Linked DNA regions of Nothobranchius furzeri. The protein of the gene in region 2 purifies or fractionates together with the protein of the main gene of each other region. This does not show direct contact. Links are inferred from orthologs where the notes say so. Each region holds a gene or a part of one and is shown on either strand. Other genes may lie near its edges. The genes, in order: skila, trim33, ssrp1a and smad3a.

Evidence for each region.
Region 1: the proteins of trim33 (region 2) and skila purify together in Homo sapiens (affinity purification with western blotting; 4 studies listed by BioGRID and IntAct, with this or other methods). This does not show direct contact. The link is inferred for Nothobranchius furzeri from reciprocal best matches to the Homo sapiens genes TRIM33 and SKIL.
Region 3: the proteins of trim33 (region 2) and ssrp1a purify together in Homo sapiens (affinity purification with mass spectrometry; 3 studies listed by BioGRID and IntAct, with this or other methods). This does not show direct contact. The link is inferred for Nothobranchius furzeri from reciprocal best matches to the Homo sapiens genes TRIM33 and SSRP1.
Region 4: the proteins of trim33 (region 2) and smad3a purify together in Homo sapiens (affinity purification with western blotting; 7 studies listed by BioGRID and IntAct, with this or other methods). This does not show direct contact. The link is inferred for Nothobranchius furzeri from reciprocal best matches to the Homo sapiens genes TRIM33 and SMAD3.

The regions. Positions count from the first base shown.
Region 1 is NC_091751.1:45,626,598-45,634,547, reverse strand, and holds the start of skila (ski-like protein), read right to left. Parts: upstream 5,011-7,950; 5' UTR 4,874-5,010; intron 3,027-4,873; 5' UTR 2,889-3,026; coding exon 1,770-2,888; intron 1-1,769. UniProt on the Homo sapiens protein: May have regulatory role in cell division or differentiation in response to extracellular signals.
Region 2 is NC_091755.1:51,913,564-51,921,075, reverse strand, and holds part of trim33 (E3 ubiquitin-protein ligase TRIM33), read left to right. Parts: coding exon 1-10; intron 11-337; coding exon 338-738; intron 739-845; coding exon 846-957; intron 958-1,036; coding exon 1,037-1,111; intron 1,112-3,874; coding exon 3,875-4,027; intron 4,028-7,512. UniProt on the Homo sapiens protein: Acts as an E3 ubiquitin-protein ligase. Promotes SMAD4 ubiquitination, nuclear exclusion and degradation via the ubiquitin proteasome pathway. According to PubMed:16751102, does not promote a decrease in the level of endogenous SMAD4.
Region 3 is NC_091741.1:91,659,335-91,666,846, reverse strand, and holds part of ssrp1a (FACT complex subunit SSRP1a), read right to left. Parts: intron 6,966-7,512; coding exon 6,780-6,965; intron 4,723-6,779; coding exon 4,617-4,722; intron 4,503-4,616; coding exon 4,309-4,502; intron 4,227-4,308; coding exon 4,126-4,226; intron 3,967-4,125; coding exon 3,837-3,966; intron 3,751-3,836; coding exon 3,647-3,750; intron 3,473-3,646; coding exon 3,344-3,472; intron 3,272-3,343; coding exon 3,050-3,271; intron 2,939-3,049; coding exon 2,866-2,938; intron 317-2,865; coding exon 181-316; intron 103-180; coding exon 57-102; intron 1-56. UniProt on the Homo sapiens protein: Component of the FACT complex, a general chromatin factor that acts to reorganize nucleosomes. The FACT complex is involved in multiple processes that require DNA as a template such as mRNA elongation, DNA replication and DNA repair.
Region 4 is NC_091749.1:43,499,921-43,508,023, reverse strand, and holds the start of smad3a (mothers against decapentaplegic homolog 3a), read right to left. Parts: upstream 4,546-8,103; 5' UTR 4,320-4,545; coding exon 4,117-4,319; intron 1-4,116. UniProt on the Homo sapiens protein: Receptor-regulated SMAD (R-SMAD) that is an intracellular signal transducer and transcriptional modulator activated by TGF-beta (transforming growth factor) and activin type 1 receptor kinases.

The DNA.
Region 1 (7,950 bases), on a different chromosome or scaffold from region 2:
AGCAAAACCTTAATAAACAGCAAAGAGAGATAGGGGGAAAAAGCTGTGAAAATCACCTCGCAGAGAAGACAGCACCTCACACTGTGGTGAGACACAGGCTCCAGAAAGCCTGGCAAAGTGTGAGACAGAAAGACGAAGATGTGTCATGCTAGCCTCCAATTATCTACTCTTTTACACACATGCAGAGCTGCAATGTCTGGCACACAAAAACACAGAAAGACTCATAACCACCCCGACATTACATATGCTTGGACGTTTGTGACGCCTGTTGTCTGCGTCCGCTTCTGTTTACACTCAAAATGTCTCTTTTGCCTCAGAGAAAGAATGTCTGCATCGTCCAAGAGGCATACCTTAAAGTGATCCAGAAGAAAAGGAGAGGGACGCTGGGGAAGAGGCGGGACGGGAATGCGGTCGGGACGCGAGACGAGACAGGAGACGGCATTTCCGCCACATTCACACACCGAGTTAACCAGAGATGGAAGATACTAATTATTTGTCTGTTTCACATAAACATTTGTGTGTTTGTGTGTGTGTGTGTGTTTTGGACACCTGCAGTCCCTATAAATACACCGTGTGGCCTTTCTGCTCCACAGTCTTACACACAAACAGCTAGTTTGGTGTGGATAGAGGTAAACAAACCATGAAAGCAAGGGTTGTGGTTTTCGTTTAAACGGTCGTAAAAAAAAAAAAATTCTGGATGCAGGAGTGACAAAAATATAATCAAAACAATAAAGACAGGGGTGCACGAAGCTCAAATGAAGGTCAGGAATCATAAAACACTCAGTGGCAGAAAAAAATTAAAATCCTGAACAGCATCCCCACCCCCCCAATCGAACATTGACTGTTTTATTGACTTTCTGGCCTTGAGGTTTTCATCATTTTCACATTGAAATATTTTTCTTCTCACTGCAGGAAGAAAAAAAGCTAAAGCATCCACTGTGGGGGACCGTAGCATTTCAAGCTCCAGTTATGAGTGGTTTTATTGCAATGAAGCAATTTCAATTTCAGGTTTGCCCGCAGGTGAACGATGGACTCCTGAAAAATGGCTTTTGCCACATCTAGAAATGCTCTTCCTCCAACGAACCCTTTTTGTTCCAGGTTGATTAACAAAAACGACGTGTGAAAAATGACAAATTCCACAAAAATTTACTCTGTTTTTTAAGCGCTACACAAATGACTAAATAGGTAACTGCTTTTAGAGTCTCTCAGAACCTCCTACTTTAGCCTTTAGCTGAGCGTCATTCCCGCTGACCTCCAGGTGACCTAAGGGAACAAATGATGCACTTCCTCCTCAGCCGTGACAGCTGATCTATAACTGTGTCTGATCTGATGATGCAGATGTCACCACTTGTCCACGGCTTCAGACACACCCAAGGTCAGGGCTATTCAATTCCGGGCCTCAAGGGCCGGTATCCAGCATGTTTTGGTTTTATTGCTGCTTCAACACGCCTGATTTCAATCAGCAGGTGATTAACAGGCGTCTGCAGAGCCTGGTGAGCTGCTGCACAGGTGATTCAACCACTGAACCTAGTGTGCTGGACTAGAAAAACCACTAAAACATGCTGGATACCAGCCCTCGAGGCCTGGAATTGAATAGCCCTGCCCTAGGTCATAAATGATTTATGTAAATGCCAACCATAAGGTAGTCTCCCACCCATCAAAAAGAATGAAAACGGCTTAAAAAAGGCCTACTGAGATTTTTGTGCATAGAAAACATGCAGAAACACAAACAGCTGACACCAAATGTTACCGTTAAAAGGTGAACTTACTTTGTCTAGCGACCTCTTCAGTTGATAATGGAACTTCTCTTTGACCTCGTCCAGGAGCTGCTTGAGTTTGGGTTCCTCGGGCGTCCCCTGGTACTTCCTGGCAAGTTGCAGATAGCATGGCCACTTGGCTGAATCAAAGCCCCAGTGGCAGGTCCTCTTATCGGGTGACTTGTGTGAATGCATGACAAACTTCTGAGGTGAAAAGAGCAGCTGGCACTCGACACACTGGATGCATGGTGCCTCAGGCTGAGAGTAGAAGTGGGGCACGAAGAGACCTTGGCACTTCCCCAGACACTGGTGCTCCACCTGGAAGCTGGCCTCGCTCTCCTTCAGCAGGCCCTGGACCGACAGCTTGCCGCTGGGATCGGCGGGCAAAGCTGCCCCGGGACGCAGGAGAGCATTGCACAGCCGCTGCGCATCAGTCAGCGTAATGAGGCCGCAGGACGGCGCGTTGAACGGTAGAATGCCCAGAACCTTTAGGATGTGCAGCTGCTCTGCGTCGCAGCGAGAGCAGTAAACGTACAGCTCGTCGCACACCGTGTTGATCTGCTGCAGCGAAAAGTCACGGAGCACAGAGTTGAGCACCTGAGGCAGGCACAGCCTTTTCTCCCCACCAACGACAAAGCAGGAGATGGACTCTCCTTCCAGTAGCGAGTGGGTGAGTTCAGTTGAGCTGTCACATGGAACCAGTAGAGGGCCCCCTCCTAACACAGGAGGGGAGGGCAGGGGGGGCATACCAGCAGAATGCTCATGGCCAGTTCGGGCTGAGAAGGCAGCTGGGCCCCCGAGGGAGCTCTGGCTGCTGAGAGTAAACTGGGCCAGTGTGTGTTTGAGGCCAGGACTCAGGTCCAGAGCTTTACCTGAGCCCATGACATGCATTTCAGCCCGGCCCTCCACATCCATGTCAACATCATGGTGCAGATCCTCCATCTGCTCCCTCTTCACTTTAGGAGTTTTGGTGAGGGGATCCAAACCACGCCGCTTCAAATTCATTTCGGCCATCAGTCGCTTCTTGATGGGTGCGTCTTCCATTCGCTCTCTGTACAGACGCTTCATGTTGCCCTTGAAGGAGGTCAAGTCTTTGAAAGGAGTTTTCAAACTGGTCTGGGTGCTGGCCATGTCCAAGCACAGGGTTACAGTCGCTTGTCTCCTGTTCTTCTGACTGTTTCTCGTTTTCCTCTGGCTTCTCACCCCCTGGAGTCTTTTTTTAAATGACGCAAGTCTTCATGATGGTTAGGTTGTCTAGGTTCTGATCTGCTGCCTGAACATGAAAAATGAAGCAATTTAGAAAGCAGAAGAGACAAAAACTTTAAATTCCAGTGTCATCGAAAGGTGTTATGACCAGTGTTTTAGGTTTTATGCCTTCCCTGTTTGGGACTTCAGAGGCTGTTATTATGGTCCAAATAAACCAAATGGCAATTACCATACTTCACACAAACACGAGGCTTTTCTTAGCTCTTGCAATTGAACCCAAGAGGAAATTCAAATTAAGGTTTCAAGCACAAAGTGAGAATTTTAACAAACCGGTTGGCTGGGATTTGAAATTCACCACCCACCCGGTTCTCATTACATTGTTAATGAAAGGCAAATACACAATGGTCAGGGGGGGGGGGGGGGAAACATTTCACTTTGCAAATGTAAAGTGTCCTTCCCAGAGCCACACCATGCCATCCCCCATTCGTCTGTTCACCCATCAACCCCATGAAGAACATGATAAAAGCGTTACCAGCGGTCAACCCTCCCCGCCTCCCCTCTTTGGTCCTCTCACAGCTTGACATGCAGCAGCACTACGGAAAAAGCAGCGTTCACCCCTTTATTTGATATATACATCAGCAACCTGATCATCATTTAAAACGCAGTGTTGACCGTGGCCACTGCTGCACTAAGACACGAGACACGGCAGCTTTAACCCATTTCAACTTGGAGAAATTTGGATTTCCATACGGTGAAATGCTCTAAATGCAATTTTTCGGTCTTGCAAATGAACATAAAAGATGCAGGTGTGTGTTTTTAAGACATAAAAAATAGTATCCCGTTTATTTTTCCCCCAGAAATCAGGTAAAAACGCAGCTGCGGAGAAAATCTTGAATTTGCAGGTTGATGCGTGAGGGCGTTTTAATGGCAAACCCCCACCGTGGGTAGACTCGAATCTACACGGCAAATCACCGACCAATAAGTGAGGATCTTCGGGGGAGCCACCTTCGGCTGGGATCCCGCTGGTACCAGACAGAAAACGAGGCGCGCGACTTTTCCTTAACAGAATAAACCGTGAGTAAAGTCCGTCTTTAATGTCACCCCCCATGTCTGGAACCGTTTTTGCTGCAAGGACACCGCGTATTACGCTGCTCCTGCTCCCCCTCCTCCTCTGCTGGCTCGGCGCAGGTATGCAGACAGCGCTGATAATGACATTCACTGTCTACACTACAGTCTGGTCTGGGAAGGCACCGCGCTTGTCCGTTACGCACATGCCAATTTAGTGAGGGCACGGCGGGGTTTCCGACCGCGATGTGTCCATACCCCCCCCCCCCCCCCCCCCAGCGGTTGGAAAAGCACCATTTAACACTCCGCATTCTGTCTGAGCGTGAAAATGTTTAACTAAATTACCAGGGCAGTCTGCTTTTCTTTCTCTTTTTTCTTATCTGTGATCTTCAGAAAAAGAAGGTGTAAGAATCTGTGCAACGTGAGTGTAAATCAGTGAAACCCCGATGGGTAGCGCACCCCCAGTCTCCTCGGTGTAAACTGCTGTAAACCTCCTCAGAGCACAGACAGGCTAAATTAACCCAGTTCCCACTAAAGCGGACTGACCCGACTCGGTTCCCGTCCAAACCGATGAATATTAGCCCTTATATTTATTAGGGCAGGCTAACCCAACATAGCGACCGATAAGCAGTTTAACCCTGCGGACCGAAAGCGCTAATATTACAGCAGGCTAACCCATGATAGAGAGCGATACGGCAGGCTAAAGCTGATTAGCTTCGCCCCCTCCGTCGGAAGCGACTAAACACAGGATTTCAACCGTTTATGTCAAAATCAGATCCGCTAAAAGAACTCTTATTTACCCGGTTAATAAAAAAAATCCTTCCATCCCACCCAACAGCTAACACTTGCCTGAACAGTGTGTCAGTCGTCCTCACTCGTTCGGAGTCCTCTCAGCACTGGAAAAGCCTGGCGGAGCGTCAACAAGATGCAGCTAGAAGCTCCACACTACAGCCCGCAACGTCACACTGCACACGGGCTGAGAGGCGGAGACGTCACCCGGCTGACGGAAACTATGCGGGGGTGTCTCTCGTCTGTAGGTCTGTCTGTCTGCCTGTCTCGCACAGTCTGGGACGGTTTTTTTCTCCAGCAGCAGGTAGAGCCGAGAGCAGAGCCGGGGAAACAGGGCAACTGGGTCAGAGGGGACTCAACATTGTGGCGCGGGGACTTTTTCCAGGTCGTGAAATGGTTCAAATTTGGTCCTCACTGCAATTCTTTAACACAATTGTTCATCATCATGTAAACAAATTAAAATGTTACAATTTGTAACATACACTTAATATAATTGACTTTTAAAACCCATTTTAAGATTATTTATGACTTATGTACTTTAAGATTTTAAAACATAAATACCATTAGGCAGTTCTTGTTATTTGATGGAAAGTTACGAAGTAAAAGTACTTCATTATGTACAAGTATTTCATTATTGTACTTAATTACAATTTTTCCATGACTGTAATTTTCTCGAGGTCTACTTTTTACTTTGACTCCATTACATTTTGTCCGACAGGCAGCACACTTCCAAACACACAACTCATATTCAAATGTTAGTTGAATACCTTCATTGTTTACTTTTAAGTACATTTTCAAAATACTTTTACTGAAGTCAATATTTTCTTGGACAATTCTACTTTTACCTATGTAATTTTTACTACTTTGTCTGTACTTTTACGTAAGTAAAAAAATCAAGTAGGCCTACTTCCTCTACTACTGTTATTTAGTGAGGTAGCAAGTGCAACATAATAATTTAATATATAATCACTTAATTGTCTTTCATTAAGATAACAATAATTATACAATATATATATCTTGCACCCATGTGTCGTTTTCAATGTCTGGCTCTTACAAAACAAACAAAAAAACTCATTTTATTGAGCATTCACCTTTCAGCACTCATAAAGAAACAGAAAGCAAAAAAGGAATAACCTAAATCAACAACAATAATAATGTTGATGTGCATAATTAAATGGTAACAGATCATTTGGGTTTCAGACCTTCACCTCTTTTTATTTGCACTATTTTCAAAAAGTTATTTACTCATGTTAATACTTTACATATAACATAGCAATACATTTAATAGTAAAAAGTTATATATTAAAAGTATTTAATTATATTTATTGTAACATGGTTACCACTTAAGTTTTCTGTTGCTTGATTATTATTATTTTCCTTGAGCGGTGGATATCTGCAGCATCACCCAAACTGCCAGCTGTTTTATTTATCTTGTTGGCTTCCCCACTGAGTTCACAGAAAAGCAAGAGAATAGAAGAGGACAGACTCAATGACCAAAAGCCCCCCCCCGCGCGCTCCCTTCCCCCAACCATACAGACCTGTCCTCTGCAAACGGTCAAGAGGTCATTCAGGAGGTCTATTGTGCTCTTGGAGATGAAATAAGTTAATAAAATCCAAGTAAGAATGACAGAAAACAGATTATTTTAATTATAGATCAGACATTTCCCCTTTGGTGATGGGGTAAGTAGCTTTAACACAAGTACTTTCTGAGTCTGCTCACAGAAATCACACTAATTCCAAATCTTCTCAATCTTGGGAGGTTATCGTCCTTTGTCGACATGCGCCGCTGTTTTCTCAGCTGGAGTGCACCCTGGCCGGCTGGCTGACCTACAGTCTGATGTTACACGTTGGTGAGAGCAGAGAGGCTTGATAAAGCTTTGATAAACAACACAGTTGGCCGTTTCGCCGCAGCCTCTCTCACTGGCTTCACTGACAGCAAGGTCAGCAGTTGTATTATGAGAGCAGATGTGCATACACCCTGTTCACCCCCCAGAGAACAAGAGGGACATTGATTTTCCTGTAATAACATCACTCTGTGTTCTGCGGGGAGTAAATTAATCTCATATGTGCAATAATGTGACCTGCACTGATTGTTCATCAGAGGTTTAACGCAAAAAGTGGAAGGATGATGAGCACAGAGGTGGGAGAGCTGGGACTTGTGGACAAAGTGTGGCAGACTGGTGCATTGATAAGCCTCTCCATTAGCCCCAGAGTCTGTCTAACTGTTATTGGACTTAGTACTAAGTGGACCCTTGAGGCCGACACCTCTCTAGTCGTTTTCATACATCTCGTCTACAATCAATGGGAGTTATTGAAATGTGTCTTAAGTTGTTCAGTGGATGTATGTGTAATTTGGAGGTAATGATGCTTACAGAAGTGGCAGTCTGAGGCTTCAGGCACACACTACAAAGATTTTCTGCTCTGTGATGTGTGTCAGCAGGATGTTTCTGGTTTTATCTTGCACCCATGTGTCATGTTTTCAATGTCTGGCTCTTACAAAACAAAACAAAAAAACTCCTTTTATTGAGCATTCACCTTTCAGCTCTCATAAAGAAACATAAAGCAAAAAGGAATAACGTAATTTAGGAATCGACACTCCTGAAAAGGTGCTTTATGGTAAATGTCGGAGAGTGTGATGACATCTCAACTCCTACTCTGGTTATTTTTGTTGAATCTGACAAGAAAGCTACGAAGGTAAAATGGCAACACAATCAGTCACCCGCCCATTTTAAGGTGACAGGTGACGAGGAACTACAATGTAGCCACAGCTGCCCTGGGGCACACTGACAGAGGCAAGGCCTGCCATATGCTGGCACTATAGGTCCCTCTGACCACCACCAGCAGGCAAGACGAGTTAGGTGTCTTGCCAAAGGAAACAAAAGCAGCATTCTCTGGTGGGAGCTAGGATCAAACCTGCAATCTTTCAATCACTGGACATCATGCTCTACCCCCTAGGCTACTGCTGCACCTGGAAGCAGTTGAAGAAAAATAATAAGTTAGCTTTTTCTGTTGGTATCATGGTGGAGCATGGAAGTAAAAATAAGAGAGTAATGTCTTTGGAGGTGAAGCAAAGAGCTACACCCGGAGTAGACATTGGCGCGGCCGAAGCTAGTTTGAAGGAGCTAAAGGAGGC
Region 2 (7,512 bases):
TGCCTGTATGGTATGAAAACAAAACGTTCATCTTTGGGAATAAAAGAATGAACAAAATTCAGGTTTAAGCATTGATATCTGTAATGTAAAATGTAGGGATGCTCCGATTTGATCACAAGATCAGAAATAAGGCCCGATCACGTAATTTTAAAAGGATCAAGAGGAAAACATTGGTGTTAACCTTGTAAAACAACAAACATGCAGTTTTTCCCCTACATAGGCTCAGGCATTGTGCTGCGCCTGAAATTCTAGCGCCACGGCTACATCATCAACCCCAACCCTTACCCCACTCTCACGGCATAACATGTTTCATAGGGATTGTTTGTTTCCCCCTCAGATGAGCAGTCCAGAGAACAGCCCCCTGGGAGCTGCATCTGCAGGCCACGACACTCTGAGGGTTCCTGGGGAACGCATTAAGACAGAACCTGAGCCAGACACGCCTTGTTCTGGACTAAATGGAGCCAGTACCATGACACCATCCACCTCTACAACCTCCACCAACACGTCAGCCACCAAGAACAGTTACAGTCAGTCAGAACTACCGCTCACAAATGGAAACGTAGACAAGAGCAGCAGCAGAGCATCAGAAGCAGCCGGGGGTTCTGGTGGGAAAGAAGACGATCCCAACGAGGACTGGTGTGCTGTCTGTATCAACGGTGGTAACCTGCTGTGCTGTGACCGCTGTCCTAAAGTGTTCCATATGAAATGCCACGTACCCACCATAAAAATCTTTCCAAAGTAAGTGACCAATAAAAACCACTTCATTTTTTTAGAATGAGAAATCATTTGAGGATCGCTAAAATATAAACCATTCTGAAGCTTTGTGTGGTGCTTGCTTGTCTCAGGGGCGACTTCCTCTGCACGTTTTGCCGAAGTATAGCCAACCCAGAAATCGAGTATTGTGATGAAAGCAGGAGACTCAAAGAGGATCAGAGCCTGACTGCTGAAGACCAAAGGGTCTGCACACCTAAACCTTCCTCAGAGAACGTCTTTGTGATGAGTTTACTGAGCTAATTCTCTCTTCCTCTGCCTACAGAAATGTGAACGGGTCCTGCTGTATGTTTTCTGTCATGAGCTGAGTGTGGGCTTTAGGGAACCGGTCCCTAGTTCTGTGAGTGCTCACACACGCACCATTCAGTCTGGTACACTACATCATGGCTCCTAAATTAAGCATTTTACTTCACTTGTATAATCCCAGAAATATGAATCTTTTTTTCTAATTGGTCCACATTATACATGATGACACATAAGGAGCATTAACTTGGTTTGAGTCCAAAAAGAGATAAGAAACTTATAAGATAAGCATCGTCTCATGCAGGAGATGGAACAGCACAGTCTAAATGACGATCATAGAAGGCAAGGCAAGGCGGCTTCATTTATAGAGCACATTTCAAACACAGAGGCAATTAAATGTGCTTTATAATTAGCAGGACCGTCCGTCCGTTCGTTCATTCATTCATTAGTTTGTCTGGAGCTTATCTGGAGTCAGGTTGCGGGGGCAGTAGCCTAAGACGAGAGGCCCAGACTTCCCTCTCCCCAGCCACTTGGGCCAGCTCCTCCGGGGGAATCCCAAGGTGTTCCCTGGCCAGGTGAGAGACATAGTCCCTCCACCATGTCCTGGATCTACCTTTAGGTCTCCTCCCGGTTGGACGTGCCCGGAAAACCTCACCAGGGAGGCGTCTAGGAGGCATCCTGACCAGATGCCTGAGCCACCTCAACTGGCTCCTCTCGATGTGGAGGAGCAGCGGCTCTACTCCGAGCCCCTCCCGAATGACAGAGTTTGTCACCCTATCTCTAAGGGAGAGCCCAGCCACTCTTCGGAGAAAACTCATTTTGGCCGCTTGTATCCGCGATCTCGTTCTTTCGGTCAACCACGACAGACCGGTACAACGCCCGCATCACTGCAGATGCAGCACCAATCCGCCTATCGATCTCACGCTCCAGTTTTCCCTCACTTGTGAACAAAACCCCGAGATACTTAAACTCCTCCACTTGGGGCAGGAGCTCATCCCTGACCCGGAGAAGGCATTCTACCCTTTTCCAAATCAAGACCATGGTCTCAGATTTAGAGGAGCTGATTCTCATCCCAGCTGCTTCACACTCGGCTGCGAACTGCTCCAGCGAAAGCTGAAGATCACGTTCTGATGAAGCCAAGAGGACCACATCATCTGCAAAAAGCAGAGACCTGATCCTCAGGCCACCAAAACGGATGCCCTCCACACCTTGGCTGCACCTAGAAATCTTGTCCATAAAGGTTATGAACAGAATCGGTGACAAAGGGCAGCCTTGGCGGAGTCCAACTCTCACTGGGAACGAGCCCGACTTACTGCTGGCAATACTGACCAAGCTCTGACACCGGTCATACAGGGACCTAACAGCCCGTATCAAAGGGCCTGGTACCCCATACTCCCGGAGTACCCCCCACAGGGCCCCCCAAGGGACGCGGTCAAACGCCTTCTCCAAATCCACAGAACACATGTAGACTGGTTGGCCAAATTCCCACGCACCCTCCAGGATCCCCCTCAGGGTATAGAGCTGGTCCAGTGTTCCACGGCCAGGACGAAAACCACATTGCTCCTCCTGAATCTGAGGTTCAACAATCTACAGACCCTCCTCTCCAGAACCCCTGAATTGACCTTACCAGGAAGGCTCAGGAGTGTGATCCCCCTGTAGTTGGAACACACCCTGTGGTCCCCCTTTTTAAACAAGGGGACCACCACCCCGGTCTGCCAGTCCAGTGGGACTGCCCCCGATGTCCGCGCGATATTGCAGAGCCACGTCGGTCAACACAGCCCCACAACATCCAGAGCCTTAAGCAACTCCGGGCGGATCTCATCCACCCCTGGAGCCTTGCCACAGAGGAGCTTTTTAACCACCTCAGTGACCTCAGCACCAGAGATTTGAGAGGCCAACCCAAAGTCCCCAGACTCTGCTTCCTCACTGGAAGACGTGTCGGTGGGATTGAGGAGGTCTTCGAAGTATTCTGCCCACCGATCCACGACGTCCTGAGTAGAGGTCAGCAGTACACCGTCCCCACTGCAGAAAGTGTTGGTAGCGCACTGCCCCCCCCCCCCCCCCCCCCCCCCCCCCGAGGTGCCGGATGGTGGACCAGAATGTCCTCAAAGCCGTACGGAACATGATATGAAAACATAAAAACACAAATTAAAATAGACACAGATAGAATTACAGTTTAGAGCTAAAGGAGAAGACAAAGTTACAGCGCAGATTACAGTGGAGATGACGCAGCATAAGAAACAATTCATTTAAAGGCTGATGGGTACATTAGGGTATTTAGTTTTAATTGAAACAACACTAGAGTTGGGGCAGATCTGAGGTCAAGGGGAAGCTGATTCCATATGATAGCAGCATAGTAACTAAATGCATCTCCGCCTTGTTTTGTTCTGATCCGTGGTTCTATCAGCTGATTGTTTCCAAGGGATCTCAGAGCCCTATTGGGTGTACCGTATATACAGTAATGAGAGCGAATATAATAAATAATCAGATAAATGAAACAGTCTCCTGATTTTTTCACTGTGCTTCTCTTCTATGGCGCCACTCTAAATGCTAACAGATTAATCTCAGTCAGTGTTTTAATGCTTTCAAGGACAAGTTTAACTGGCTGTTCACAGATCTACCAACTACTAGGCTTTAATTCCAGTTATCATCATCAATATTGTTATTAGCTCAATAATGCATTTATTAAATATCATTTTTCTGATTTATTACCATTTTATTTAAAATTGATTGGAAGAAAAACATTTCTAGTTACATTTCATTAAACATAATAAAACCTTATTATTTACGTTTTTGTTATTTCCATCTGAAATATTTATTGGTGTAACTTGACCCAGCTGTTTTTTCTTTTTCAATCCAGGTGCCCAACTACTACAAGATTATTAAGCAGCCCATGGATCTGAAAAGGGTGAAGAGGAAGCTGCAGCTGCGGAGCTCTCAGTATTACAAGTCCATACAAGAGTTTGTGCAAGATATGCGCCTCGTCTTCAAGAACTGTTCAACTTACAATGAGGTGAGCAGCATGTGTTTTCAGCCCGTTAGGGGAATGGTGTCCTCTTGCTGTGCATGCTGACCAAAGAGAAACTGATAGAAATGAGACAATGGATTCTGCTCTGAAGGGTGTTAGCTCTGCTGTTTTATTATCATAACAGAAGGAGTTCAATTAAACATCCTGGCTTTGAAACACATTCCTTAAAGCTGTTTCTGGTTGTTTGCTGTTGCATTTATTTTCTTACTAAGTAGCACTAACTTACTAGACTAAAGTAAGTAAGTAAAATCCTCACTCACTCAATCATGATGAGAAAATTATTAAATTATTGTACAATTTAAATTTATTTTTAAAGCAATTCTTGCACATATTTAAAAAAACAAATTATTTTTGTCAGTAAAAGAAAATAGAAAAGGTGCCTTAAAACTGAGGGTATAAAATTAAAGCAGTATTCTTGGAATTTAAATATAAAAGGAGGGAAGCAGGACTTGCTTCATTGGGTAAAGGTCTGAAAGGTGATGCAGAAGTCAGGCGATGCCTCAGGTACATAACCAATAGAGGTAACAGTCATTATCTCCACCTGTAAATAGCACAAGCGAATATTGAGAATTTTTAAAGACCAAGTTCACTGAGAAATGGGTAATACTTGTTCTCTTTGAAATGCGGCCAGTCACTCACATTTACTATGAAGGCTGAACGTGAACATAGGCGGCTTCTATCTCCTGCATTAGCTGCTGAAAGGAAATGGATGGGGAAACACTCGGACTAGAAAATCCTGACAAATCTATGTCACACTGTCAAATTAACATTCATGGACTCATCCATCTTGATATGCAACAGGGAATGCTGTTGTTAGTTTACCATCCAGGAAATGGCAGAGAACATCTCAGCTATTAGAGGCTAACTGTTAGCATAAGCAACTCCACCACCCAGCAGAGCTCCTCCAGGCATGTGTTATTTGTGGATGTAAAACATCCATGTTGCAGAGCAAACAGAATCTGGTAACGTGGTGTAGCTTTTAGCCAATCAGAGATGGGATTTCTGAATATCAATAGGGAGCCTAAGTCACTTCCGCATCATGGGTCCCCCGGAAGAACGAAAAAAATGAATGCACGTCAATGGGACTAAAAGCGCTATTTTCTAATTTTGCTTGTTTTGTGCCATGGATTTCACAATGTGCTTATTTTTGAACGGACACACACACACGATATTTTAGGTTTTGTGTGAAAATAAGTCCAGAACTAAAAATACGTTTCACGAAAGTGACGTCATCGAACTAGACACAGAGAAAACTCAGGGGAAATGGCTGTAAGTTCAGCAAACTTCCCACAGGAGGGAAGAACCACCCTAAATCTGGTCATTTGGTAAGTAGCAGCTACTTTGGGGAGAGGAGATTATGTGGTGACGTCACATATGCGCCGTGCCGATTTTTAGTTTGTAGTCATGCTAATTACAAACTTTTACAAGCTAATAAATGTCAAAGTACGTGACTGGCGTGGTCGAAACTCCCATCAATAGTTTTCATTTAAATTGCAGTACAACATATGTGCAATCCAGGGCGCAAGGCAAAGCGGATTAGAAAATAGCGTTTTTAGCCCTGTTGACTTGCATTCATTTTTTCGTTCTTCTGGGGGACCCATGGTGCGGAAGTGACTTAGGCTCCCTATAGGATGCCCAAGTCTCCTCCCTTTCTGGTCGGCACATGAAGGAATGGAAAAATCAATACAAGTCTTCGTCTTCGTCTTCCTCCGCTTATCCGGGTCCGGGTCGCGGGGGCAGCATACCAATTAGGGAGCTCCAGGCCGTCCTCTCCCCGGCCTTGTCCACCAGCTCCTCCGGCAGGACCCCAAGGCGTTCCCGGACCAGATTGGAGATGTAACCTCTCCAACGTGTCCTGGGTCGACCCGGGGGCCTTCTGCCTGCAGGACATGCCCGAAACACCTCCCCGGGGAGGCGTCCAGGAGGCATCCTGACCAGATGCCCAAACCACCTCAACTGGCTCCTTTCGATCCGGAGGAGCAGCGGTTCTACTCCGAGTCCCTCCCGAATGTCCGAGCTCCTCACCCTATCTCTAAGAATGAGCCCGGCCACCCTACGGAGGAAACTCATTTCAGCCGCTTGTATCCGCGATCTCGTTCTTTCGGTCATTACCCAAAGCTCATGACCATAGGTGAGGATTGGGACGTAGATCGACCGGTAAATCGAGAGCCTGGCTTTCTGGCTCAGCTCCCTCTTCCCCACGACAGATCGGCTCAGCGTCCGCATCACTGCAGACGCCGAACCAATCCGCCTGTCGATCTCCCGATCCCTCCTACCCTCACTCGTGAACAAGACCCCGAGATACTTAAACTCCTCCACTTGAGGTAGGACCTCTCCCCCGGCCCGGAGGTGGCAAGCCACCCTTTTCCGGTCGAGAACCATGGTCTCAGATTTGGAGGTGCTGATCCTCATCCCAGCCGCTTCACATTCGGCCGCGAACCTACCCAGCAAGAGCTGAAGGTCAGAGCTGGATGAAGCTAGGAGGACCACATCATCCGCAAAAAGCAGAGACGAGATTCTCCTGCCACCAAACTCGACACACTCCACACCACGGCTGCGTCTAGAAATTCTGTCCATAAAAGTGATGAACAGAACCGGTGACAAAGGGCAGCCCTGGCGGAGTCCAACCCTCACTGGGAACAGGTCCGACTTACTACCGGCTATGCGGACCAAACTCACGCTCCTCTGGTAAAGGGACTGAATGGCCCTTAACAGAAAGCCACCCACCCCATACTCCTGGAGCGTCCCCCACAGGGTGCCCCTGGGGACACGGTCATAAGCCTTCTCCAAATCCACAAAGCACATGTGGATTGGTTGGGCAAACTCCCATGCCCCCTCCATCACCCTTGCAAGGGTATAGAGCTGGTCCACAGTTCCACGGCCAGGACGAAAACCACATTGCTCCTCCTCTATCTGTGATTCAACTATCGATCGGACCCTCCTCTCCAGTACCTTGGCGTAGACCTTTCCAGGGAGGCTGAGGAGTGTGATCCCCTTATAGTTGGAACACACCCTCAGGTCACCCTTCTTAAAGATGGGGACCACCACCCCGGTCTGCCACTCCCTAGGAACTGCCCCCGATGACCACGCAATGTTGTAGAGACGTGTCAACCATGACAGCCCTACAACATCCATAGCCTTGAGATACCCAGGACAAACCTCATCCGCCCCCGGGGCTCCGCCGCTGTGTAGTTGTTTGACTACCTCAGCAACTTCTGCCCCCGAGATCGGACAGTCCATCCCTAGGCCTCCCAGCTCTGGTTCCTCCTCGGAATGCGCATTGGTGGGATTGAGGAGCTCCTCAAAGTATTCCTTCCACCGTCCGACTATAGCCTCAGTTGACGTCAGCAGCTCCCCATCCCCACTGTAAACAGTGTGAGCGAGTTGCTGCCTTCCTCTCCTGAGGCGCCGGACAGTTTGCCAGAACCTCTTTGGAGCCGATCGATAGTCTTTCTCCATGGCCTCACCAA
Region 3 (7,512 bases), on a different chromosome or scaffold from region 2:
TACAACAACTACAGGTATCATCTCAAGCTTTAAAAATGAAGTTAAACCAAACTTACTCTTCTGCAATTTCATCATCTTCTTCTCCAGGGTTGAAGGACTCATCTAAAGAGAGAAGAAAACCCTCGTTCAACCATTACCATCCTCTCATCGCGAGCGGTTACATTTGAAACAGTCACTAACCGCTTCCACTTCCATCCGACTCGTCGCTGTCATTGCCCTCCTCTCTGATCTTGCCCTCAGCCTTCATCCTCTCCAGATAGGCATCGTGCTGGTCTTCGTCTGAGTCGCTGTACTCGTCGATTTTACCCTTCATGCCCTGGAAAGTACGCAGCACGGTCAGGAAAACACCACAAACACACAACGTCAGAGCTAACACGCTAGCCCAGACTGTGGTTAGATGTTTGAAGGTGTCGCGGCTTCACAAAGCCTGAGTTTTGCTCGTGGGACACCGTCCTCCCTATCCGTCTTGGATCCAGCATCAACCACAGTCAAAGGAAACACAACCAGTAACCAAAACAGGAGGTGTGACGTTTCAGCTCCAGATTGCACCGTTACTAAAACACTACAAGCAAGTTAGCTTTGACCTGTTTCATGTCTAAAATCACTTTGACTACAAACCCTCAAATGTTTTATGGTCCAGGACAATGAAACTAAGCATCACCGTTACCAAAAGGAAGACCTACACTCAAGTTAAATTTGAGTTAGTGAATTTCCCTTTTCCCTGTTTGAACCAGGCAATAGTAAGTTAACACTGGGGATGTTCTGACCAAAACTGGCCAATTTTCATAAAAAACAAACAAAAAACGTGTGCAAATTCCCATCAATGCCTTTATGTCCCATGCTGTGTTGCAGCCTGCGGAGACCCTGTGTGCAGCATCGCGATTCCCTACCCCCTTCTGTCGCACTGTGCATGTGTGCAGCAGCTGAAGTGCAAACACGCGTCTGCCAAACGGAGGGTGATGTAAACGTTGCATTTTGCAATGAAAAAGTATTGCATGAGGGAAGCTCTCTAAAATGCATCAACACAATGGACTTAATATGACTCTTAAAGAATAAACTCTTGCAGGGATGTGAATTTTCAAGGCTCACTGCAGAAATAGAATAAAAACCTGGAGCAGCTAACGGAGTCAGACGCAGCGGCACACACTATCACTCGTCTGTACGAGTGCGACAGTCGGCAGGCTGAGCATCGAACTTGAAAAATAAAGCCATCATAGATGAGCAGCCTGTCTCTGTGGTGGATGACACCAGGTCCAGCCCACTAGGACCCGCTACAGGTATTAAATAAATAAATACACATAATAATAATAATAATAATAATAAATCAAATAAAATCTCACAACACACAAAGATGTGAGATTTATCTTTTGCTTTTCGGCACTTTTTACTCAGAGCTTTTAATATTTGAAATCTGTTTTCCTTTTGACTGAATCGTTGCTGCTTCTTGCAGCACGTTGGTGTAGACTCAGTCATCCTGGATGTGATCAAGAGTTTTCTGGTTTTCTTGAAGTTTTGCCTCATGCTAGAGGCTCCATCAGTTCTAAACCTTGGGCTGTGCTTAGGAGGCTCAGAAACAAACACACGGATTAAGCTGCTTTTTAGTTTTTTCTCTTGAAAAAAGAACACATTTTTGCTCAATCTTTCCCAGATCATGTAGTCTGTCATAACTACATAGAAAAGTTATGGTCAATCCATGTGATCGGTGTTGGTGATCAACAGCAAAAACCTGCTGGAGCATCTCTACTCAACAGTTTTACCACGTACTACTTGTTTCTAAACACATTTCCTTTATTCAACTCCTCCTTCGCCCACTGCTTCGAGACTTAATCAGCCTTTGACCCAACTGGTCCCAAACAGGAACTGTCAGAAACTGCACTGGTTTTTTAACACTTCAACACGACACCATCCTCCCCACAGAATGAAAAGCTCATAAAGGATTCGACGTCATTTGTTGAAACGTCCTCCTGGAAATCACATTAAAACCCTTTTCCTCCTCCTACGTGCTCACTTCCATCTTCATGCATCAATATCCTCGTCTGCCAAGTAGACAGAAGCGACTGATAGGTGGACCGCCAGTACAGACACCAACAGGAAATGGGCAGCAGCTCCATTTGTCCTCAATGGACTCCTCTGCTGACCCCATCACCATGGCAACAGAAGACTTCTGCGAGTCTTCAGACTCACCACAACCTCGCACACATCAGCAGGACGTTACAGGCGGAGTGATTAGCACAGGAGAAGAAGTTAGGACCACAACACAGTCTGGAGTTAAAGAACAAAAGCCCCCAGGCAGCACGTTAGTCAGCAAAATGCAAACACACACAGTCAGTCATCAGTTACACAGCAGTCAACCCTCAGGTGCCATAATTACACATGAATCCCTTCAGAAAGATCAGGTTCAACACCAAACTGATCAGTAAATCATCAAACCCAAATGATTCTCCACAGATTGATCAGACCATGCAAACAGAATCACTCCAAGCCCACAAGAACCCAGAGCCTAATCCATACGGGACGCTCGAGACCATACCCACCTTCTTCTACAAAGAGTACAAGAACACAAGAGAAGGCACAAAGGATGAGAATGTGGGATGATGTCTGATAAAACTGCTGTCATGTTTTAACCCTCCCACTGTCCTAATGGGTGTGACCCCGCCAGGAAAGTTGACCAATGAGCAGGGTTGATGGTTCATCCCTTGGGTCCATGTGACAGGGGTGAGGAGTGAGCACCACCTCATCCCTGCCACATGGACCTCAAGGGATAAACCATCAATCCTGCTCAATGGTCAGCTTTCCTGGCGGGGTCACCCATGAAGACAGTGGGAGGGTTAAATCTACCAACGTGCCAATCAGGATGAGCGTTACCTCTTTGAACCCTCTGTTCTTGATGTTGAGCTTCTTGGCATTGACAAAGTCAAACAGCTTGCCGTACTCTTCTCTAAAGAAGAAGAAAAGCACATTAGGGTGGTTTGGTTGGTATGGAGATAGGGTTCCACACCAGAAACATGTTCCTCATAAAGGATCTGCTTCCTTTTTAAGACTGCCTCACCTCTCGATGCTGCTGAAGGTGTACTGGTTCCCTTGTTTGGTCTCAATCTCAAAGTCAAAGGAGCGCGTTGTGGTGGTCCCTCGGGCAAAGTTCACGCAAGAGATCTCCTCGAAGCGCAGGTGGACGGGGGGCTTGTGGACGTAGATGAATCCCCGCTCCAGGGGGTAAAGGAGGCCGGAGGAGGCCTTGTAGGAGCAGGTAATGCACTGAGCCCCAGAGTGACTGCGCAGATGGGATTTTGTGAAGATATAATCATTTTTAAAAAGTGTAAAAATGTGTGTTTGAGATGCCTACCCTTGGAAGTTTCCAGGTACAGTAATTTTCCTGTTGACCAAGGCCTTCATCACCCTGCTGACCATCTCATAGAGAGACCCCGACATGTTTTTACTGAGTTTGCCCTCAAAACGGCGCTCCACATCCTCCCTGTTACAAAACAGCAACAGAATGAATGTCTTCACCAGAACACGTTGTCAGGATTAGTGAGAAGTGAAGAAAAGCAGGAAAACTATTCCTTCAGACCTCTGGCTCCCCTCAGTGGACAATACCGTTATCACCCCCCCCCCCCCCCCCCACCCCCACACACACACACTCACTCACTCGCTCATGTTGAGGGTGAGGTTGATGTCCTCCTCTTTGGAGAAGAGCAGAATGAGAAAGTGGTAGCGAGTCTGACCCTGCTTGATGGGAGGATCCAGACTGATCTGTGATGTCACAAAAAAAACAAAGAGATGCTGAGCGAGGAACGTCAGCTGACCTAAAAGCAAAAAACACAAAGATGTAGACTGACCACAAAGAACATCTGCCTCTGATCTTTGTGTGGTAGCAGGAAGAGCCGGAGGACGGTGGTGTAGGGAATCTTGTAGTCAAACGTTTTCCCGTGAAGGTGAAGGAACGTCGGGTAGATGCGAATGTCGTATCTGAAAGAAGTCCAAATACAAATTCAGCTTTTGTCTCTAATAGGCCACAGCCCAGTGAGAAGCACGCTGAAGAGTAGACAAATCCTTTAAACCACCAGGACTTCTAATGATCTGAATCATGAGATTAGATGGTATTGTAGTCCTGGAACAACCTCATACCTTCCTCTGGGTGTGAGACACTGCAGCTCCTTGAAGATGCACACAGCATCACCAGTGGCCTGGATCACGTCAGCCTTGGACAACACATTCTGAGCAAACGCCTGAAGGAAAACAAAAAATGCCACAACGTTAAAAAAAAAGGCAAAACAAAAAATGTCATGAGTAGAAATGTCCCTTTCTCACATCCACAGGGTCCTGTCGTTCGTCGGCTTGGCTGGGCGGGACGTAGAAGCGGACCTCCATGAGGGAAACTTCCGTGTCGTCGTTCTGGTGAAACTCCAACGTGACTTCGTTCTTTCCCGTGGCACACTGGGACACGTTGGACAGAGGAATCTCAAACGCTGCATTGTCATTGATGTCAAATGAAAGCAGAGGTCCTGTGAAGAGCAGAAGAACAAAACTGTGTGAGTCACCGGGTTCTCAGAAATCTCTCCTTGTTTTTAGGACGTGAGTAGATTATTTAAGGATTTCTGTGCTGGATCTTGTTTTACCTGAGAACTTCGCCGTCCCCCAGTTCCAGCCTTTCACACACATGTCCTTCTCCGTCAGCTCCACCTTGTAGTTAGCTTTGAAAAATTCTGAGATCTTTTCAAAGTCCTGGTGGATGAAGGTGGAGGAGCAAAAAGAGGACAGAACTTTTAGGTTGGATTTATAAACAAGTAGTCAGGAGAAGGTAGGGCTCAGAGATAGAGAGGCAGAAAAAAAAAGAGTAAAAGTACAAACGCTGCATGAGTCAAAGCCTAAAAAGAAGCTGTGGCGGTGGAAAATTAATCAGAACACAGTCGTAGGTCAGCTGCTAGGGAGTACAGGAGTTGAATGTAATCCATCCAGCCCCTCCACACAGGCCCTGACAATCAGATCGTTTATTTATCCTGCAGGTCCGCCGCAGCTTACAACTGGAGAGGACTCACAACCAACGACAACCACACACACCCCTACATTCGCAATAGTACAAACACATATGGAACTGATTGTGGCGTGCAAATGCAAGGGCAGAATGAGACTGGAAACTCATGTACGCACCTGGATTTCTGCCATTTCATAAGGTTATTGAAGCCAATATATGAATATATGAGAGAGAGAGAGAGAGAGAGTGTGTGAGAGGGTGAGAGTTTGTTTAATCAGCTTGTTTGTTGACCTGGACTATGGAGTTGTTTAGACAGGATAATGTGTGTGAACGGATGTAAAAACATACCATCAGTTTGTTTTGTGGAGCATGTTTTATACTAACACACACACACACACACACACACACACACACACACACACACACACACACACACACACACACACACACACACACACACACACACACACACACACACACACACACACACACACACACACACACACACAGTGATTTGTCCTACATTTATCAGGAATTAAAAGTTTTCTTTAACTATTTTGCTGCTTCAGCTAAGTTACCATTAATAGTGAAATCATTAGGAAACGTAGTCTATATACTGGAGATTATTTCTAAGTTTTGGATATTTTTGGGTGTTGAAAAATGAAACTTTTGACTCAAATCTAAAAAAAAATAAATGTTGTTTTTCTTTAAAAACAAAAACAAATAGCCTGATTTTACAAGTGTTTTGCTCTTTGAAATGTCCAACAGCTTTTACTGGTTCTGAATTTCCTTAGTCTGATTATTCATCAACACAGCTGTCAAACTGGGAGAACATGAAGGATATCTGAAGCCAAAGCAGTGATGAGGGTAAAACTCCAGCTGTGGTAAGGGAACCCAACCCCACTGAGATACTTCAGACTCACCGTGTAAATATCTATGATCTGGCTACGTTTTAAAAACCATCACTGTTGCTCTGAAGCGACTCAGGACCTTTCCTGTTTGGCACAAAGCTACAGAGCCCCGGCTGATCCAACATCTGGCTGGTTCTGGTGGATCTCACAGATGCACAATCAGTGTAGGAAGGTGGGAGCCTGGAGGCAGGATCCTCACATGTTCCAGAGTTCTGGCTAAATTAGGAAGTTTGATCTCTAACAATGTTAGAAGAGCATTTTCCCACAAACAGAACAGAGAATCTGAAATCCTCTCGCTGGTCTAAGGCTGAGCCTTGAACAAGTAAACACCTCCGGATGCTCTCAAATACTCAGGCAGGGATTCACATCTTCCTCAAGGACAATTTATTAGACCAGATGAATCAAAATGTCAGCCTTCTGCCAGTTCTCCATTACCGTCGCTAACTGGAGGATAATAAACAATGACTTCACAGCCTGGGCTTTGGGACGAGAGGATCCATCTCCCCTCATAAATAAGCTGATTAACCCCCAGAGACACACTCCTCAGGTTAAACACACACCTCCATCCCTGTATCTCACTAGTGTGTTGATTTTTCCTCTGCGCTCAGAGGAAATTTAAAAAAAATGCAATAATACAAATTTCTCTTGGTCTGTTTTGGGAGCCAATTTGTTTTAGTGGGCTGATATAAACACGGGCTCAGAAGAGCCGATGATTGCACTGTTTATAGAACACACACGCTGGCTCCGGTTCCCCTCATTAATCCCATTAGGGCCTTTGAGCAGAACGCCATTCACACACACACACACACACCAGAGAAACCTCAGAGGAAATGTCAGATGGAGCGGGGCTCCTCCTGCTCGTGTTACACTCCCCGTCATACAGCAGCAGAACTCACCGTGTCCCTGAAGCCGTCGTACTTGTAGACGTGACCCGTGCTGGTGCCCAGTTTGATGCCGTGACCCAAACACACCCGTCTCCACTGAGCCAGGTTGAGCTCTCCTGCAGCGATGTTGTCCACCTTCCCTGTCTTGTTGCTCTTATAAACCACGTTCTGTTTGCTGAAACGCAGCCGTCCGTCATTCTGCAGAGACGAGATGAGACATGATGGGTTCATGAGTCCAGAAAAAGCATTTCCAAATGCTTATCTGTAAGCTAGTAATGCCACTGTATAAACGGTATACGGATGATAAATTTAGCCACTGGTAAAGATTTTGACTAACAGCCAAGTACGATCGCACATGAATGTCATCAAGCTGCAGCAGCACGGTGCGGGTGGATAAAGACAGGCTCAAAATAAGGATAGGACTGGACGCCGACTGATGTGGTTTTTTTAAGGCCGATGCAGATACCGATTTTTAAAGAATTTTGTTGCCGATATCTAAAGCAGATTATATATATATGTATATATATATATATACATTTTAGCAGCACATTGATTGTGAAAGACAACTGAACACTCACAAGCCACGTTTACATGTGCGCAATTAATCAGACTGAACGCCCAATCAAATCAAAATTTCTGCATGTAAACATGTCAACCGGAACGTTCTGATCCGATTCGGCCCGATCGGTATGAAATTTCAATCCTATTGAGAGAGGTGGTTTTGTCCAATCATCATTCCGATTGG
Region 4 (8,103 bases), on a different chromosome or scaffold from region 2:
TAGACAAATATAAAAAATGCGTTGAAGTTTGGTTTAAAAGATACTACCCTGAGGTTATACTGGCCTCCTCATTTTGGTTAAACAGAGGAAACAATCATGGCCATTGATAAAAGAAACAAACAGAACCAAACATCAGCCTTCTGTGTCCAATTATGTGGGTTTGTTGATTGGTCAAACAGATCTGCACTTCCCTTCTAGCAATTCTATTCATATTTTCCACTTTGGTTCACATTTGCATCTGCTAATAAATAAAGGTTTAGGTTTTTACAACAGTAGAAGGAAAAGGCATCTGTTAGTCATCTTCTTTCACTCAAGTACTACAAGCTACCACACATCATGTCCAGCCCAAAACCATCAGATACTCCTAGATCCCTGTAGAGTAACACTTTACACAAATCAGTGTTTGTTACCAACCAAAGTTTGCAGCTCAGAGGAAGAGGAAATGATTTCATAAGGGAAAGAAACTGAGGACAGTTAGGTCAACACCACAACGCCAAAATTGCTTGTTGTTGAGTGACTAAGTCTTGAAACTGGGATACAGCCTCAGCTTTCAATTCTTCTTATTATGTTCTATAAAAAGCAAACATGCTCATTGTCAAAACCATAATGACCTGAAAGGCAAGTACAGAAACCGCCCTTTCCAAGAGTTAGTCAACAACAGACACATTTTGTTTCAGCTTCAAACTGCAATGTAGGACTGTGACAAATGTCTATTTATTTAGTTTTTTGGATGGGGGCTCTGAGTAAATCAGTCCAAACACAAACAAACCAGCATCATCAGTAGTCACAACACACACACACAAAATGTACTTCTTAAATTAATGATACCAAAGCTAGATCTAAGTATTCAAATTATCCTAAGGTTATACTTTTGAGAAACCTTTATGAGATTTTCTAAAATCTCCTAGTTATCGTCCCTTTAAGTTGTCTTTTTTCCTCCTTTTCTAATTGTGGTACTCTATATCGATACATGATACGCTCTGCCATCCCACAACCTGACGCAGCTATTGACCCAATCAATACCCAGGCCTCAGCTTCCTTCCGCACTCAGCATCACTGCAAACCAGCATCAAAAGCAGCAGCACTGAGCCTCATAAGAAGTTCACTTCAGAGATATTGGAGATGACCTCCCCATAGACAGGCCAGGACATGCAGGCAGCTGCTGTCAGCAAGCCAGAGCTTGGGGAATTAATAGAAACAGCATCTCTCCAGGGACACTGCTGGACCACACTGACAGCCAGATCTGATCTGGGGTCATTTTAATGCACTCTCGCATTAGTGGTAGGAAATATTAAACCTTGACCAGAGCGGACATTATTTAACGTTTTGGATGAGCTCAGCTCTGAATGCTGGCACAGGTTTGTGGTAGCTTTATATGTACACTTGTGGCCAATAAGAATGTGGGAGTGCCCTGTTAGGGATTCAGATTTCATCTGACACAGTATGCTATTAAATCTGAATGACACACACATGCAAGTCATAAGAAAAGATTTGGGCTTCTTATTTACCAATAATTAAAAAACACAAGAAAATAGACTGAAGGTCTAACAATATGAAATAGTTGTGAAGAATCACTGTGAATAAATAGAATAGAATAGACTTTGTGGATCCCACAGTAGGGAAATTCACTTATTACAGCAGCGCCAGCACAAAAAAAAAAAAAAAAAAGCTGAACTTGTGATGATGCGGGGCCAGAATAAATTAGTTACAAGATCACACGTGCAGAGGAGTTAAAAGTGATTCTGATGTTTAGAATACTTTGATTTACAGATACAGTTCATAATCATTTTGACTAATGTATAATGTGTCCAATTTGCTGGCAATAAATCAAGTGACTGCTTGGAACAAAAGTCAAAACTAGATTAATAACTCCCTCAGATTAACAAATATAAAGAAAGGATGCTACAAACAACAATAAATACAATTATCAGTTACTTTAAAGAGGCAATGTGTAGTTTATACCATTAATCTCTGTAAATATCCATCAAAACAATGTTGAAAATAAATTAAATGATGTCCAGTTGTTGAAAAATATTGGCAGCATTGTACCATATAACCATAAAAATTGAGTGTAAACTGCATTGTGTGCAGGTCAAAAATCTTTGGAGGACGCCATATTAGATGCCAAGTTTCCTTCTGGAGGGCTCGCAAGCTTGTGCCTGTCGATGATATCACACTAGATGATTGGCTAAGCGTACAACCTACAGAAGTTACGTTACCACATTCAAAAATATCTTGGCAGTGAGAAACAATAATTTAATAACAAAACTGCTAAACTTTTTCCAAAACCTATGTGAGAGAACAGAATTGAAAAAGAGATGCAATATATATTTGGCTGAACGGTATTTTCGTAGTATGATGACGTAGGGCTGGGCAATATGGCCTAAAATATATATTCTGATATAATCTGAAGCATGTGCAATAACAATATTTATTGCGATGTATTTTTTCCTCTGTTAATATATGTCAAAATGACATGCTTTTAAAAATCCACATTTGGCAAATATATTGCAGCAGAATAAAGACGTCCAAAAAGTAGAATGCTCCTCCTCCTCTGCCCTCTCCATACTTGCAGTCACTGCCATTCTGTTGTCCCAATGTCAGGGAGAGTGCACATTTATTGACACCATGTGTTACCATGATAGAGCCAAAAACTCTATCATTACCCAATTTTATATCGTTTCTACCTTATATAGTTTATACTGCCCACCACTACATCATTGGCAAGCGCAGGACCCCTGAGCAGCTCTGGAAAGTACAGCACCAGAAAATTAGCATCTGCATTGCATTCTCTCTATGGAAATACCTGAAGAACAATCAAAGTTTGAGGAGACACGCCAAGGTTGCATGCTTTCTGTTCCACAGGTAACAACATTTACGGTAATGTTTTTTTTTTTTAACTAGCGACAGTCACAGCAATATGGTGTAAAACTACCCTGAAATGTATGTACTGCCCCCTGGCACCAGGAAACTACACGTTGCCACCTTAAGATGGTAAAATCTTTTAAAATTTTTAAGCATTTTTCATTAGCGGTTTGCTTCTTGGCCGTTTGCACATTACTCCTGCTTGGTTCAGTGAATACCAACTTGTTACCTAATGAAAAAGTTGCCATCAGTAATCGTGAAGCACTGTTTCATCCCAAAGTGCACACACTGATGGTTAAATAATACAGCCTTTAGAATTGTCAGAGCTAAAAATGGCATTTATTAATCCAGCTGACAGCTATGTTTCCCTCCTCCTTGCAGAGAAAAAAAATGAAATCAATAAGCCAAACCACTATTCATAATTTATTCATCTGACCACTGAAAACCAAACACAGCTGAATTATTTACTGTTCCAAGGAGATCGTTTGAATTAATTAATTTAGAGTGTTAAATGTTAACTTTTCATCCCATGAGAGCATTTTTGTCTCTAATATATTTTGTCAAATGATAAACACCTTTATTTGCGTTTTTTTTTTACATATTTTCTCGTGTTTGCTGTTGCATTGCCTCCAATTCTGCCCACGCTATGAAAGCACCTGTTACACATAGTAACCTGCAGTGGATTTACTTGTATTAAATAAAAATGCTGATATATGTCTGTATAGAGGCATTGAGAGAAGATAGAGAGCCCATCTAGACTCGCCTACGCACTAACAACGCTAGAAAACGTTCCAGATTAAGGCCAAGTTATATAACTACCAGTGCACATTGCATGTGTGCTATTGGCTCGTTATGCTTAAAACGTGTTTTTGACAACATAATCTGGGTCATACCAAGCTGCTAGGAGTTGTTTCAATTCACTTGAAGTGCAAAATAGCAATATGATGACACATAGATAACAGACAATAATACATTTGAGCCGTAATTTACAGATTAGCTGGTGAACTGTTTCCTTAGCTAAAACTTTGATGTTTAATAAACGCTAAATAACTGAGTTTGAAATATTAACGCGAGAAAATATCTGGAAATATTTGCTTCTCACACAAGAAGTGGTGCCTTTAACGTGCAATAGACAGTAAAAGCAGTGGCAGATTGGTATAATTTGTTATAAAGCTGTAATAAACGGATAAAACAGCGCGTGAGATGCTAACTTTACGGTCAGCATCAAACCAACCTGCTAGCTCTCCTTACCTCGGTATGGTGATGCATTTTGTGTTGATATTCTGCGTGGTGATGGCTTTCTCCAGTTCATCCAGCTGTCCCGTCTTCTTCAGCTTCTTCACTAGACTTTTCACCGCCTTTTCGCACCACTTCTCCTCCTGGCCGTTCTGCTCTCCCTTCTTCCAGCCCAAAAGTCTTTTGACGATGGGGGGAGTGAAAGGCAAAATTGACATCTTGAGTTCAGTCAAGTCCGTCCTGTCTCGAGAAGTCTGCTGGGTTTTTTTTCTTCTGGACGTTATACGAAAACGACTACCTTTGTGGCGGTCTACGCAGTGACGAAGAGAGCAAGTCTTCGCTAAAAAGTTATTGTTTTTTATCTAGAGCTACACAGGAGCATCCCAGGGCCAAACTTCTCAGTTTTAGCGAACTCGTTTACCCTGGCTCGAGGAGGTAAACGGCGGATTGTGCACCGGTATTCTTTGGTGCTGTGGATTTAGTGCTGCTCCGCAAGACCAACTAGTCCGTCTGCACCTACTCAAGCAAATGTTATTTAAATAACTCCAACCTGAATTAAAATACGATTTAAAACTATGAATAAAACGTTAAAAAATAAAGGAGTAACGCTAGTGGTGTGTTTTATTGACTGTTCTAATCCTCGAAGCGCAAAGTTTTGTGAAGTTCAGAACCCTCCGCGGTGTGTAGTCCGCCGGCTGAAATCTGCTTGAAGTCTGCATCAGATGCAAATGCAGGAGTTGCTGCTCAGACTCTATTCAGGCTTCAGACTGCTGCAGACCTGTAGCAGCTCTGTCACAGCAGCTGGCCAAAGGGGCCGTGCTGATGTTGCACAATCACTGCCTCTCCTCATGCTAGCAAACTGCTGCGGTCTATAAAAGCGGTCATACGCAGCACTTGATTCAGTTATGTAACACCAACCAGTTTATTTATTTTTTGTCCACACTAGTGCACTTAAAAATGTATGTTTTTTTCTTCAGAGGAACAAAGAAGCTTTGATGTTTATTTAAATGACTTTATCTCAGTTAACTTTATGTAACACAGTTCAAACTGTAATATCACATTTTTGTTTCTTCCCACTCAACACTAACATTTTTTTCTGATTTACCAGGAGAATACATTCATTTTTTGCTCATATGTTATGTTTTTAGAAATCGTCATATGCTCAAGTGTCTAAAGGTTAAGGTGTAGTGTAAAATATGTCCAGTGTGTGTTTGTTGTGTAAACACCTGGGGCTTGAGATCTCTAACACAGAACTTTCCAGTAATGCTCTCTGGGTTGTTCTACCTTCACACGACTGAATAACACTGGAGCTGCTGTAAGACAGAAGGTAATAGAAGTAGCTGCACGCATGCATGAGTTTGCACACTTTCTTGCCTCGGCTTGTTAGGCCTTCAGATGAGTGCTGCTACTCCTCAAGGTGGCAATTTAGTTTATTGCTTGGTTCAGCCTTTAAATTACAGCTATAGTCAAGCACATGCACACACTCTCATATGCATAAACACCCCCTCCTTCATGCACTGAATGTCAAAGAGTCAAGTGCCAGATGTACGACTGAGTGTGGAGTAGAGCTGAGCTCAGACAGTGATAGTGGGTAGCCATAAATGCATTTCAACGAAGAAGGTGGTCCTCTGTGGGTTTTTATCACTCAGAAAAGAGGAATAATGTCTGTACCAAGAGCACAAATGGGACTTGTGATCATCAGGCATGCGGATCAATTGCCTCTGCTTTCAGATCATAGCCTTATTAAAATAGTAGCATTGACTTGTGGTTTTGGTATGCGTGTACAGGAGCACTGACTTGTGTCCAGCAGCCCCTCTCCACAGCACACAGAGCTTAGTTTGTGCTAAAAATACTTAAGGTCCAGCAGGACAAATGCCTTTCCTTTCATCTATTCTGGTTGACCAGTGTTTATTTTTATATCAGCCAAAAGAAGTTCACTCTACATGTGCTGAGTTAGGAAAAATAAACTCATTGTTTTAACGTTATTTTTGCTTTGTCGTGTTAAAGAATTAAAGTTCAGTGCCCCCCCCCCCCCCCAAAAAAAACCAAAAAGCTAAGTTAAATAATAATTTCACACAAGATTTAAAAGTAGGACATTTTGCACCACAAATCCCCAGCAGCCCCTCATCTGCAGTATAAATCTAGTCTCCAGCTGAATACACACCACTCTCTCTGTCTGTGCTGTGTTGGCAGGTTGCAACAGAAGCCTGGAGGAGCGTGCTGCCATGTGTCATATACAAAGGCCCAGCGGCCCTCTCGACACCTGTTTACACCCCCAGGGACACGACCGGCCAGCTGGGTTGTTTTGGAGGAGTGTAGATCCAGACAAGGCGATATAGGGGTGCAGGGTGGGGGGAAGGGTCACAAATGGGCTGCAGAAGAGGGGGAGAGGGGCAGAGTTTAAGGGAACTGGAGGATGGGGGCGGCTGTGAGAAGAATTACTGAGCATAAAAGGCACGTCAGGAAGGCTGAATGAGCAGTGACCACGCACAATCCAATGGATGATAATGATATTGTGCCAGTTTGAACCTCAGGGGACTTAGTCCTGTGTGTGTGTGTGTGTGTGTGTGTGGGTGGGTGGGAGTGTGTGCATGTGTGTTTGTCCCAATAGAGAATAAAGGTCACAGAGAAATAAAAACTCCAGCATGCTGGATAGATGTGATAAGGAAACAGACGACCGCTTTACAGCAAAAACAAAACATGCTTGTTTTGAACCAATCACACATAATCCATTGCAATTTTTTACCCTAATTATCTTCAAACTGATGTTAAAGTATTTTTAGAGATACCTCTTACAGAACTCCACTCCGTGAAACGATTAAACATTTTTTAGCAATTAATAAATTGAATGAAATGTACATTGAAAAAAAAAATTTAACTTTTTTAAAAGCCAAATAAAAATTATCCTCTCAGGACCCGAATTTGTATTTTGTGGGATTTAAGAGAAAAAACAATCCTTGCCATTACAGATTAGTTCACTCTCATAACTATGAACAACAAGAAAAAACACAATATTAAAAAAAACAAAACTAAATGAATAAATTAATTTAATATTTGACTAACTTCTGAAAAAAGAAAGGGAAAAATAACTTAAAGTCAATGTCAAGTGAATTTTAAAAAGTTGAAAAGAATAAAATATAGTGCAAGAACTTAATGTCCACATATGTGAACACACATGCTTTATAATACACAATAGATGTGTTTTAACATTTTCGATGATAAGACAGTTCAAATTTTCTCACGAAACGGGGAAATAAATCAATAATTAAAAATTAAAAAACTATGATAATCCTGTTCTGAGATGCAGAAGATTGCTGGTGAACAGGTGGGCTGAAAACTGCAGGATTACTCATTATTATTAATGATATGCACACACCTCACTTCTGATTGGCTAATAAAACATTTTCTGCAAATTTGCAAAGTCACTATCACCATGACACTTTCGGCTCTCTCTCCTCACTGCAAAAAAAAAAAAAGCCTTCCTGTGGGCGGGCACGAGCCAAGATGGGCGAGACCACAGAGTGTGACATAGATATGTGAGGACTTTCAAATCCTAGCATTTTCTATCAGAAGCTAACGCAGGAGATAGGTGTAGGAGACTGTTTTCATATTCAGCCTGCATGAGAAACAGAGTGTTCGATTATAATCAAAAATAAAAATTGAAAACTGTTTTTTCAGTCAACCACACCTCCAAAAAAAACAAAAAGTCGACTACGAATCCACATGAAAGCTGCTTGGTATGAGGTTTAATGGTTAAACAACAACAATAGTGAAACACAAGTGTGTTAATGAGGGCTGCTAACGAGCAGAACTTCTCATGTGGTCCTCGTTAACACACCTGTGTTTTCTCTAGCCCTGCAAGTCAAAATGTGTGCGGTGAAATGGAATTTAAATGAAAGCAAAATCTAGATATTAATCATAACATTCCTAATTTTCCTTTAGTTTATTTTCTACCACAATTAGGAACTTTGTCATCACCCGACACAAATCTTGTATCTCCAT